2 linked regions of the Drosophila melanogaster genome follow. The protein of the gene in region 1 purifies or fractionates together with the protein of each later gene. This does not show direct contact. Each region holds a gene or a part of one and is shown on either strand. Other genes may lie near its edges.

Evidence for each region. The genes of interacting proteins can lie anywhere in the genome.
Region 2: the proteins of Calr (region 1) and Sh3beta purify together in Drosophila melanogaster (affinity purification with mass spectrometry, with the first as the bait; one large-scale study listed by BioGRID). This does not show direct contact.

The regions. Positions count from the first base shown.
Region 1 is NT_033777.3:9,628,123-9,632,758, reverse strand, and holds Calr (calreticulin), read left to right. Parts: upstream 1-1,907; 5' UTR 1,908-1,993; coding exon 1,994-2,081; intron 2,082-2,205; coding exon 2,206-2,310; intron 2,311-2,318; exon of another isoform or gene 2,319-2,504; intron 2,505-2,578; coding exon 2,579-3,051; intron 3,052-3,143; coding exon 3,144-3,698; 3' UTR 3,699-4,068; downstream 4,069-4,636. Other genes in the region: SpdS (spermidine synthase), read right to left, coding at 1-382, 905-1,038; CG8319 (uncharacterized protein), read right to left, coding at 4,149-4,636. UniProt on the Drosophila melanogaster protein: Molecular calcium-binding chaperone promoting folding, oligomeric assembly and quality control in the ER via the calreticulin/calnexin cycle.
Region 2 is NT_037436.4:7,363,965-7,371,011, forward strand, and holds Sh3beta (Sh3beta), read right to left. Parts: upstream 5,297-7,047; 5' UTR 4,971-5,296; coding exon 4,926-4,970; intron 4,227-4,925; exon of another isoform or gene 4,108-4,226; coding exon of another isoform or gene 4,099-4,107; intron 4,021-4,098; coding exon 3,595-4,020; coding exon of another isoform or gene 3,589-3,594; exon of another isoform or gene 2,877-3,588; intron 2,553-2,876; coding exon 2,478-2,552; intron 2,247-2,477; coding exon 2,198-2,246; intron 2,145-2,197; coding exon 1,282-2,144; 3' UTR 1,106-1,281; intron 1,001-1,105; coding exon of another isoform or gene 896-1,000; 3' UTR 620-895; downstream 1-619. Other genes in the region: Sec63 (secretory 63), read left to right, coding at 1-67.

The sequences.
Region 1 (4,636 bases):
GCTCACTGCCGGACCAATGGGATCCGAGCTGTCGGTGATGATGACATCAAATTCGTTCTTGTGTTTCTTCATATAGTCGAATCCATCGCCAATGGTAAGCTTCAACTTCTCGTTGGCGAAACCACAGGCCATCGCTGGGAGATATTGCTTGGACAGCTCGACGACACGGTCGTCGATTTCCACCTGATGCACTTCCTCGACCAGTGGATGCTTTACCACCTCGCGAGCAACGCCGCCATCGCCACCGCCCACGATCAGGACCTTTTTGGGATTGGGATGGGCGCAGAGCGGCAGGAAAGATATCATCTCCTGGTACGAGAACTCATCCCTGGCCGTGCACTGAATGATTCCGTCCAGAATTAGGCACCGTCCATAGGTTTCGCTGTAATAGAATTATCGAATTATTGATTTTTTCAGCGGCGCAAGTGTACCCAATGTTCGACTGGAGGAACTCAAACCTGAAAGACGAGCTGACTTGCTATCAGTATTCTGTCTGTCGTTTTTGGCCCTAGATGACTCCATCGATAAGGCTGTTGGTGCAGATCAAGAATAAACACACGAAAACCAAAGGGTCCGAAAATGCTGGCTGGGCAATTTGTGTTTGAACAACCAGTGGAAAATTTTCGATTTCTACAATCTATGATTTAGGGACCTTCAATGTAGGATACATATGGGATTAGGCTATTGTAGGTTAGTCCTTAAAATCTCAACAGCTTAAGCTGTTAAAAATTTCGGATTTGTGTGACTTGCGTGTTTATAATGATTTTAATTTAGTTTTTTAATCTCAATCTAAGCTAATTTATTTTGACATCTATCTTCAAACTTCAGTCTAGACTGAGGAATTTCGGATGTAAACAAATGGGGTTGTGTGTCCAAGTATTTGTTTATCTATTATTTATCTTACGTTTCAACGATCTGGATGTCTTGGAACCGGGACTTCTCCTTGTGGATGACCTCCTTGACTTTCAGGGAGAATGACTGACCGGGCCAGAGATCGGCCTGCAGTTCGCTGAACCATCCGTTGTTAAGGGAATCCATTTGTTTAATGCCGCATTCGAATCGGCGTTTGATAAGATTGGCTCAACACGTGGGCTCGACACGAACTTACCGTATCTGCCACAAAGCTAGGTCTTAAAAAATACCTTAGAAGGTCTATTGGTATAAATACCAAAGCTTTTTTGTTTTAATTAATTTAATTTCACTTTTCTATTTCTGGCTATTTATCTTTTTTATTAATATAATACATTTCCAGCGAAAATTGTAATTTTTTAATGTAATAAAGTCAAATGTAAAAGTTAGCACTTATAGATAAAAAAGTTCCTAAAATTAACGAAATACAGGTGCAAAGTTTTGGAATTCCTTTATTTGTTTTTGATTTGTATTATAATGTATAATTAACATTCTAACTTTTTAAATACTATGAACTTTATCGGGTGAAAACTTAATTGTTAACATGTGATGTAAGTGTGAGTTAAAATTTTCAAAACCCTTAAGCCGTTAAAAAGCTTAGGAATGTTCTGGAAGCACAACTGTTCTTCCTGTAACTACTACAATTGTTAAGTAGTAGAAGAATTGTTATTGGAGTAATTTTATGTTTTCTTAGCTTAGCCTGCTGCAAGTGATTAATTGTATGCCAGAATATATTAATTTTATATATTTTATAATTTAATTTAATTAGCAAACGGTCACTTTAGTGTTTCTAATTCCAGCTCAAGCAATCGATAGCGACAGGGCAGCATGCGATTGCTTATCGAAATCAGCCCTGGCCGGTGAAAAAGAATACGTAGACATCCCTGATTGGCCTGATTTGGGCCAATGAAAACGTTCCAGCAAACCAATTTCAGTAACAAGCCGTCCCGCTCCGACACGCACGATTTAGATGCAATAAATAAATAGCACTTTCTTGCCGGCATTTAGTACTTAACTTTAACCGAGTTCGGACAACCATCGGAGTTGGAAGAGTCAGTCCAAAAAGTGGTGCGGGATCGTTCACATGATGTGGTGCAAAACAGTGATAGTGTTGCTGGCGACAGTCGGCTTTATTAGTGCCGAGGTTTATCTGAAGGAGAATTTCGACAACGGTAAGTGGTAGTCATCGCGTTCTATGGCCGCCATGTGGTCCTCCGCTCCCCTTCAATGAATAACGAAAGGAGAGACAATAAAAATAGAAGAATAATAAAAGCACTCCCCCGCTTGTTCCCGTAGAAAACTGGGAGGATACGTGGATCTACAGCAAACATCCTGGCAAGGAGTTCGGAAAATTCGTCCTCACCCCCGGTACCTTCTACAACGATGCTGAGGCCGACAAAGGTAGCGTATATGTGTCGATGTGTCGTCACTCCCTTTTCCAAATCTTTCTCTTCGCTCGTTCTGCCATTTTTATTTTTCGTCGGCGTGTTATCTGCATTTGTATGTGCCCGTGTATGCGGAGAACATGGGCACGAAGAAGAAGAGGAAGAAGAAGAAAAACCACTACGTGTACGTTTTCGAGTAGCTATAGTAACTGTATACACATTTTTTCTCGCCCCCCACCTCCGCGCGGCGCGCATTCGTATTGATGTGGACACACATTATATAGGCATTCAGACCTCTCAGGATGCTCGATTCTACGCGGCCAGCCGCAAGTTTGATGGCTTCTCCAACGAGGACAAGCCCCTCGTGGTGCAGTTCTCCGTGAAGCACGAGCAGAATATCGACTGCGGCGGCGGCTATGTGAAGCTGTTCGACTGCTCCCTCGACCAGACCGACATGCACGGCGAGTCGCCGTACGAGATCATGTTCGGCCCGGACATCTGCGGACCCGGCACCAAGAAGGTCCATGTGATCTTCAGCTACAAGGGCAAGAACCACCTAATCAGCAAAGACATCCGCTGCAAAGATGACGTGTACACCCACTTCTACACGCTGATTGTCAGACCCGACAACACGTACGAGGTGCTCATCGACAACGAGAAGGTGGAGTCTGGCAACCTGGAGGACGACTGGGACTTCCTGGCCCCCAAGAAGATCAAGGATCCCACCGCCACCAAGCCCGAAGACTGGGACGATAGGGTAAGTTGTAAATCCCCGCCCAAATCAGACTTTAGCCCATCGAAAAACCGGTTTGGCTCATTGTTATTAAACAACAACGTAAATCTCTGTAGGCCACCATTCCCGATCCCGATGACAAGAAGCCCGAGGACTGGGACAAACCAGAGCACATTCCCGACCCAGATGCCACAAAGCCTGAGGATTGGGACGATGAGATGGACGGCGAGTGGGAGCCACCGATGATCGACAACCCTGAGTTCAAGGGCGAGTGGCAGCCAAAGCAGCTGGACAACCCCAACTACAAGGGCGCCTGGGAGCATCCCGAGATCGCCAATCCCGAGTATGTGCCCGACGACAAGCTGTATCTGCGCAAGGAGATCTGCACCCTGGGCTTCGATCTCTGGCAGGTCAAGTCCGGCACTATCTTCGACAACGTCCTGATCACGGACGACGTGGAGCTGGCCGCTAAGGCTGCTGCCGAAGTCAAGAACACCCAGGCGGGCGAGAAGAAAATGAAGGAGGCCCAGGATGAGGTGCAGCGCAAGAAGGACGAGGAGGAGGCGAAAAAGGCTTCCGACAAGGACGATGAGGACGAGGATGATGACGATGAGGAGAAGGATGATGAATCTAAGCAAGACAAAGATCAAAGCGAACACGACGAATTGTAAGGACGTCTAGGGAAAATTACGTCGAGAAATATTCGGTATTTTTTGTGTGTTGGTAGCTGCTTTGATGTTCTAAGCAAACGGAAACCACAATTACAATTTGTAAGACTTATAATTTATAAACATACAACTTGTTGTTTTTTTCCATTGCTCTTTTCGAGCGATTTAAGGGTTGTTTAGCTTGTTTATCAAAATGGTGGTGCCACGTGAACAAATCACGGCCGAATGGCAACGCTGTCTATATCGTCGTGTCTACATCGAATTTTGATTTACAGAAAAACGGTGTTGCCACTCCAAATGGTTTTCAAAGTGCTGTTCGAATTCTACGAAAATATAAATCCTAAATTCAATTAAATCCCAATATGAACTATAGAAACAATGAGATATAAACATAACCGAATCCTAATTTATTTATTCGAGTAAGCCGTGGTATTTGGTCAAGAATTTAAGGTATCACTTTAGCTTTAGCTTTTGATCTCCATCCCGATGCTTGCCCAGAAAGTGCCGCTTCAGATGATGTTTCTCCCGGAAGTCCTGCAGGCAGATGGAACACTTGTAGGGCCGTTCATCCGAGTGGCGTCGTCGGTGCTTCGCCAGGTTATTGTTGTCCGAAAAAGTCTTGGGGCAGTGGGGGCATTGGTAGGGCTTCTCGCCCGTGTGTATGCGGATGTGGACCTTAAGGGCCTGCTTGGAACGGAAGTTGGACACGCAGAAGGGACAGGCATGCGGCCGTTCGCCCATGTGCGCATGGATGTGCACCTTGAGGGCCGACTTGTTGAAGAATCCCGTTTGGCAGTATGAACATTTGTGGGGTCCGTTTCCCTGTTTCGATTCCGCGTGGATCAACAGGTGCGCCTTGAGGTTTTGTTCGCGAGTAAAGGCCTGCTGACAGTGGGGGCACTGAAAGGGCGAACGCTCCTGCATATCCTTGCATTTGTGGC
Region 2 (7,047 bases), on another chromosome or scaffold:
CACCGATCAGCAGGAGAACCTGAGCGACTATACAACAGATACGTCCGATGAGGAGGACGGCGAATAAATCCACTGTCTACATGGACAGTGCGACGGACGGACGGACGGATGGATAGACGTCCTGAACCCCAATCAACCTCAACCTCCTCTCTAATTCACTGGGACGGAAGAGAAGCCTCTTTGTTTTCCTTTTAGTAAATGAGTTTCGCGTGGCGCGTGGCGGAGGCACACCAATGCGAACCCTTCCTTCGCATTTTTACTAGTTTTGTAATGGAAAAGACCCCGAACTAGTGCGTAAATAACTATAACTTCATTTTACCGTGTACTGTACTAAACATAATTATAATGTACTGTATATTTAATTATTTGGATACAAGAACTAAAAGTGAGACACGTAAATACAAAAGTCTATTGATATTACTACTCTTTTGTTGTGTTATAAACTGAGAAAGAAAAACCCACGGGCTTGTTGCTACTTTCGCTCACTTTAATGCTGAATTAACATAAATTTACTGCACAATTTGCTGAATTTCTAGATTAACATTTTATTCAATTAAATAAATAGCATCACAATTACTTTAATTTAAACCATTCAAGTTATTGACCACGCCTAAACCTTAGCAATTTTTAAGTTTTTTTTTTTATTACATTTTTGCTAAGCCTTTGGATAAACTAATTGCTTACAGCTTTTAGAATTTGAATATATTTTAGCGCAAAAGTAAATTAATTTTGTAATAAATAAAAAACGGTTGTATCATTGTTAGAGTATCGACACATAAAATAATAAATCAGCAAAAACAAGTGAGAATTGCAACAAGCCCGAATAGTTTGTGGAAATCATAAAAATAATTTAAATCAAAGTTGGCGCTGCCTCTGTCTGCGCTGACGTCGACGCCTACTGCGCAGCCGCTGCCCGCTCGCTGTCCAATAAGAGATCCGATTGGGAATCTGAAGTCTTCTTAGCTGATGCTGCTGTTGTTGTTGTGGTCGCTGGTAACTTCTTTCATTGTTGTTGTAGACAGCAGCGAGTTTTTTGTTGTTTGTTTTGGGAAAGGAGTAAAAATTGTAAATAAGTCACATAAAGGCCTAAACTAGGGTTCATTACCCGTCACCAGACTCGTTATTAGTGGGTTCTTGTTTCTATTTACAAAACATTTTTGGTATTATTTGGCTAAATGTGCGTTTTTTTATGTGCGTGTGTGTGTATGTGTGCGTTTTGTGCATTGGTGTTTGTGATGCGGATGTCAGTGCGTTTTTTGTTGTCGTTCAATCGATTTTCTTTTACTCTTCTTCGCTTTCTTCGGAAGAGGAATTCTCGCCATCCGGTTTGCTTTCTTCATTTTCGGGCGTGTCTTCTGTCTTCGTTTCTGCAGGTTTTTCCTCGTCGATTGGTTCTTCCTCTTTGGTTTCCTCTACAGATCTTTCGGCAGTCATAACTTCTTCGGGCTTTTCTTGAGCCTCATTTTCATTAGGATTTTCTTTAATATCTTCAAATTTTTCGTTTTCCGTACTTACAACCTCGGATATTTCAGTACTACCAACTTCCTCGACCTTTTTGTTGGTCTCATTTTCTTCGAATTCATCTTTCACATCCTCCGATTCTACAACCTCATCATCTTCGGTACTTTTAACCTCTGATTTGGTAGCACTATCCGAGTCCGCGGACTCTTCTGTTGCATTTTCCTCGGTCTTTTCTTCAACATCCTCGTCTTTATCATTCTCATTGACTTTGGTGCCTTTGGTGTCATTTTCCTCCGTTTTTTCCTTGGAGCTTTCGGCCTCTGATTCTTCAACGGCATCAACTTCCTCGGACTTTTCTTGCGTCTCGTTTTTCTCCGATTTTGTATCCCCATCATCATTGGTGGCCTCAACATCTGGTTTCTCAGTAGTGTCAGCATCCTCCGATGTTTCTGCGGTCTCCTCACTTCCCTCTAATTTATCTTTAACATCCTCGGATTTTTCAGTTTTATCATCCTTAACATCCTGGGAGTTTTCCTTATCATCTTTTACAATCTCGGATTTTTCATCCTCATCATCTTTAACATCCTCGGATTTTCCAACCTCATCATCTTTGGTACTCTCAACCTCTGATTTTTCCTTGGTATCCACTTCCTCAGACTTTTCTTGGGTCTCACCTTCAGCGTCTTTACGGGGTAGAAATTTTGATTAGAGTCTAGGGACGATCTTCCTACTTTACCTGTAGTTTTCTCCTCCGTTTTCTTGTCCCCAGATTCTTCGGTTTCAGTCTTTTTGTGGGTGGTGGGATTAGGGGTGCGAATGTTTTGTGGGTTGTTGATTGGTGGTTTTTCGTTTTTTTTTTTTTTTTGGGGGGGGGGGGGGTAAAGTGGAAGTTGTATTTACAAGATCAGACAATCGCTAGGCTACTACAGTGCAAGAGATCATGCCTTTGTTAGCTCCTATAAGCTCTAAAAGCCTAGAGTTATGGTTCGGTCATGCAGGATCTATCGATCTATTACCTTTTGCTCGGCATTCTCTTCATCTGCGTCTTCATCCTCGCCCTTTGAATTCTCCTTGTCCTTGCCGTCTTCGTTCTTTAGAGAATCACTCAATTGTTAGTAATGTTTTTACATTACGAAACTGTTTCGAAAAAGTCGGTCTTTAAGGCAACAAAATTGCTCAAGAATATTGAAATTCACCATATTCCTGTACTTTTCGTGAAAAGTTTTTTTCGTCAAACCTAAAGACCAACTTTGGAAAATCTCTCTATAGATATTTGGTATTAAAAAAGCCTTTTTGTAAATTAAGTTGTCACATTCTCATTGTTAAACTAGCCGTTGATAAGTTGGTGTTAGAGTTTGAGTGTGTTGCATAGTGTTAGAAAAACAAGCTTGCGATTGGTTATAGTTTTTTTTTTTAGTTAATACAAATATATTTCCTTTTATTACAGGGGCAGCGCTTTTTTATGTTTTAGCATTAACATAACGGCTGCACAATAAATTTCAGCTCTCTACACTACTCCAACTTAGGCTTAAGTGCTCCGAGTAAGTATTCCGAGTCCTTATTACAGGTGTGTATAAATGGTACATACAAGTTGTTTGGATGTCAGTTAATGAATATAAATATTTTGATTAAAATTGTCTTTTCACCGGGGGCCAACACAATCGAATGCCCTCGTTTAAATACGCTCATGAACTTAGCTTAAGAACCGCAGTAGTCATAATGAATTCGTTAAAAATTGAAAGATCTTCGATTTCATGCTCTACCGATGAAGGTCTAAAAAGTCTCTAAATAAATCTCGTAGTTTTAAAAGTTAGTTTTGTAAATTTTGTATAATTTAAAAGGAAGATTGCACTTCATATTCTGCAATTATCTATACAACTCCCCCAAATCCCTATGGGCATAGAAATCGAAGACGGGCTCCATAAAATATTGATATATGTATGTAGAAAGTTGGTAGTATCTGTGCTGTTAGGTAAACATTGGGTGTTATTTCTGCTGTTAAGTGTAAGGGCTTTAGTTTCAAGACATTGCTGTTGTTGTTAATTCTATTGCTCTGCTGCAGATGATTGCTGGCTGCGTTTGTTGCGTCGTAACAGTTAACGGAAAATACGTGAAAATAGCTCAAGTTCAAACCTCGGCCTTCTCAGCAGCCTCCTCCTTGACATCCACATCGCCATCGCCGGCCTCCGTTTTCTTATCCTCCGCCTCCGTTTCCGCCTCCTCCTTCTTGGCATCGCCGTTCTCCTGCTTCAGTTCGATTTGGGCGGTACTAACTGCCGTGGTGTCGGCTGGAGCCAGCTTGAGGAACACCTCCAGGGTATCGATCTCGTTGGCCATGTCAAAGGCGTCGTAATCACCGCAGTACTCGTCGTCGTTGAACAGCTGCGGAGGAAGCGGATGACGGGGCTCTGGATCGCTGACCGTTCCACCGTTGCTTGTCGATTTGTTTTGCATCAGCTCCTTCTCGGATTCCTTGCCGGGCTCCGTGATGTCCACCGTGTCGTACTTGATGTTCTTGCTGTCCAGGATCATCAGAACGCGCTGCTGGCGCTTCTTCACCTGTAAAATTGGATTTCGACGGTCAGTGAAAGCATTTAAATTTGAAAAGAAAGTTAAAAATTAAAGTATATAAAATACCTTTAACATGTATCGTTTTGTTCAGTGTAGCTACCTTTGACAACGCTGTTAATTACAGCGATGACAAATCGCTAATGAAGTGTTACCGGCAAGCCCAAACGCACACAAGCGCACACAAAGCCAACTCCCCGCCGATATAAACATATGTACGTAAAAAGAACGCCAGAACCACGCGATATGATAAGGCTAATTAAAATGGTTTGTTGCACCCCAGCATTTATCTTACGATAAGAATATGTGTTTCCCAACGCTTTTTTAAAGTGTACAAAGACAGGACAAAAACAAATAATTGTGAACCGTACAATGACCGTTATGTTTTTGTTCTTATTGGAAGAGGAAGATTGCCAATTGAACAAAGGCACCGAAAGAGTGAGAGGGGGAAGTGAATCACCCCTCACGCATGTACACACACACACACATGCACACGCACCCACGCAACTGCGATCAATGGAAATCCCTCTCTTCCATGAACAATTTACAGTTCACAGTGGAATGAGCTTATATGGGCAATGAAATGTATGTTTGTTCTGCTTCTTGCCACCACTAACACTCGCACACAAGGGCACTCACGAAAATACCCACTTGTTTTTCTTTGACTGTACAGACATACAGACTTACATACCACACACTACATCATCATCATTGTCCAACTCACGTACATACACACAAAGACGAAACGCAGCAGAAGAAATAGAATTTGCAATGCGTTCGTCACCACTTTAGTTTGCTTCTTTTCCTTTTTATCTGTTTGTCGCTAATACCAGGGCCAAACATTCCAATAACATGACACTATTTCGGTTTTAAGCCCGCCACGCCCACAAACTCACCTCCTTATTGCCGGACATGCCGCTGACGTAGACTTTCAAGACCATTTTCGCAGATTACTGTGTCCTCGCACCGCAAATGAAATAATATTTTGCAACTAAAATCTGCTGGCTACTTTCACGGCGATTAAAAATATTTATAGATCTTTTCTTTTCCTGCTTTCTTCCGTCCTGCGCCCCTACGTAATGTTTTTCCACTGGTGACGAAGGCACACGCACTGGGCAAGGTCGTTGGTTTTATTGGCTGTAAAAACGGCAAAGACGCGGATAAAAAAATTGCCTGGCGACGCTTATAAAAGTGCAAAAATATTTGATATCAGGAGTGGAAAATATTTCCTACTTTGTCGTTGAATTGAATGGTGGGACCGCGCATTGACGGCTATAGAAAACCTTCCGGCTTATCAAATATACTAAATATGATGCTTGATTAAAATACTAAAAACTTTGAACTTAAGTGATATTTCAAAATTAAATATTTTTAAGACAACTTAAATTTTATTATGCTCCCATGTAAGGTTTTCATTTTTTAAACGTTCTTCGATTAATAATCGTAATAATAAAATAATAATTTATAAAAAGCATAAGATAGGCTTTTTAAGGTTTTTTAAAAGATAGAAGAAAAGGATTCTTATTATAGAACAAATTATTTTTAATTTGGCGTCGATGAGTTAGCGGCTTCAAGGAACGGTGGAATTTAGAACATGAGGGTGTTTTTTATTTATTAATTTTTTGTTACTTGGAGTTGAATTCCATAAAAATAAAAATGCAATAATGCTAACTTTCTACAAACGACTTAAGGTTATAGGACTCAAGAAAGTACATAGAATATGCAATTGAAAAATGTTCTCCCCAGACTTTTCGGTTATTTGAAGTTTTTGCTATATTTGGTAGAACCATAAAGTATTTTTTGGTATAGATCCGTTAGCAGGGCAACCAATATTAGCGGTCGCCATGCGGTCACTCTGTTCACGTCCCGTCACGCAAGCATCGTCGTCCATTTTTGCTAAGAAGCGAGACGAAAATTTGTAAATTATATCTAGCGAGTCGCCGAGGACGAACAACTATTGACAGTGCATTTCAGTGGCCTTTGGAATACTGCTCAAACAACCAGCAAGCAATAACATTACTTATATCTAACCGAAAACCTAAATTAATCACCCAAACTGAAGTACGGACGTGAATGTAAGTGGGTATGTGCCAGCGGACTAGTGGCACAATAAAAAAGTAAATAAAGCGCGTGTGAAGTGGTGCAGAAAGCAAAAAAGCAGTCGGAAGGAAAAATCAAAATACGCATTAATGTAAGTGCGATTGTTGGAAAAGCTGTTTAACTTTTTGTTCCTCTGAAAAGCTGATAATGATATGCGATGCGACCATTTTTAAAATTTCATGAAATCAACATTCCAACTCACAACGGTGTGCGTGTGCGTTTCTTTGTGTGCGTGCGTGTGCAGGCTAGAGTGGGACAACCAGTGTGATCGCTTTGGCTGCTGCCATTTCGTTTGCTTTTTTTTAAACTAATCTCTGGCATTTGTCACGTAAAAGAGTATAACGTTAAACCCAAAAACGTTTTGTATATGGCTTTAAATATTTAATAATTGTGGGCAGAGACAGCAACACCAGCAGCAGACGCATACACACGTGTTGCGGTTTATCGAGAGGGCAGTGTGCGTGTGTTAGTGCGGAAAACAGCTGGTACAGCTGCCGCTGCAGCGACGAAGAAGAAGAAAAGAAAGAAAGGGGAAGAGTGAGAAGAACACGCATTATTATCCTGCGTAGTTTTCTTTTATCGGTGGTTGTTCTGCTATTGGGTTACAGTTTACACTTTTCTCTGTTTTCTTTATTTTCCCTCTGCATTGCTATGCATTTTGCCTTTGCGTGGTGGTTTTTTTTATTTTCATTGTCGGTCGTCCTTTAATTGCGCTGCGCCACTTCGTTTCGTCGCTTTCTTTGGCTGGTTTCTCCTTCTCTTCGGAGTTTCTGGATTCGTATTCCGATTCGGTATCGCCCTTTTCCTGCGACAACAGCAGCTGGGTGCACGGTATCGGAGCTGTCGGCGATAGCCGAAAGAAGCTAGAAACCCCAAGGAAGCCAACATCCTTTTAATTGTCGTGGAAACTATAATAGT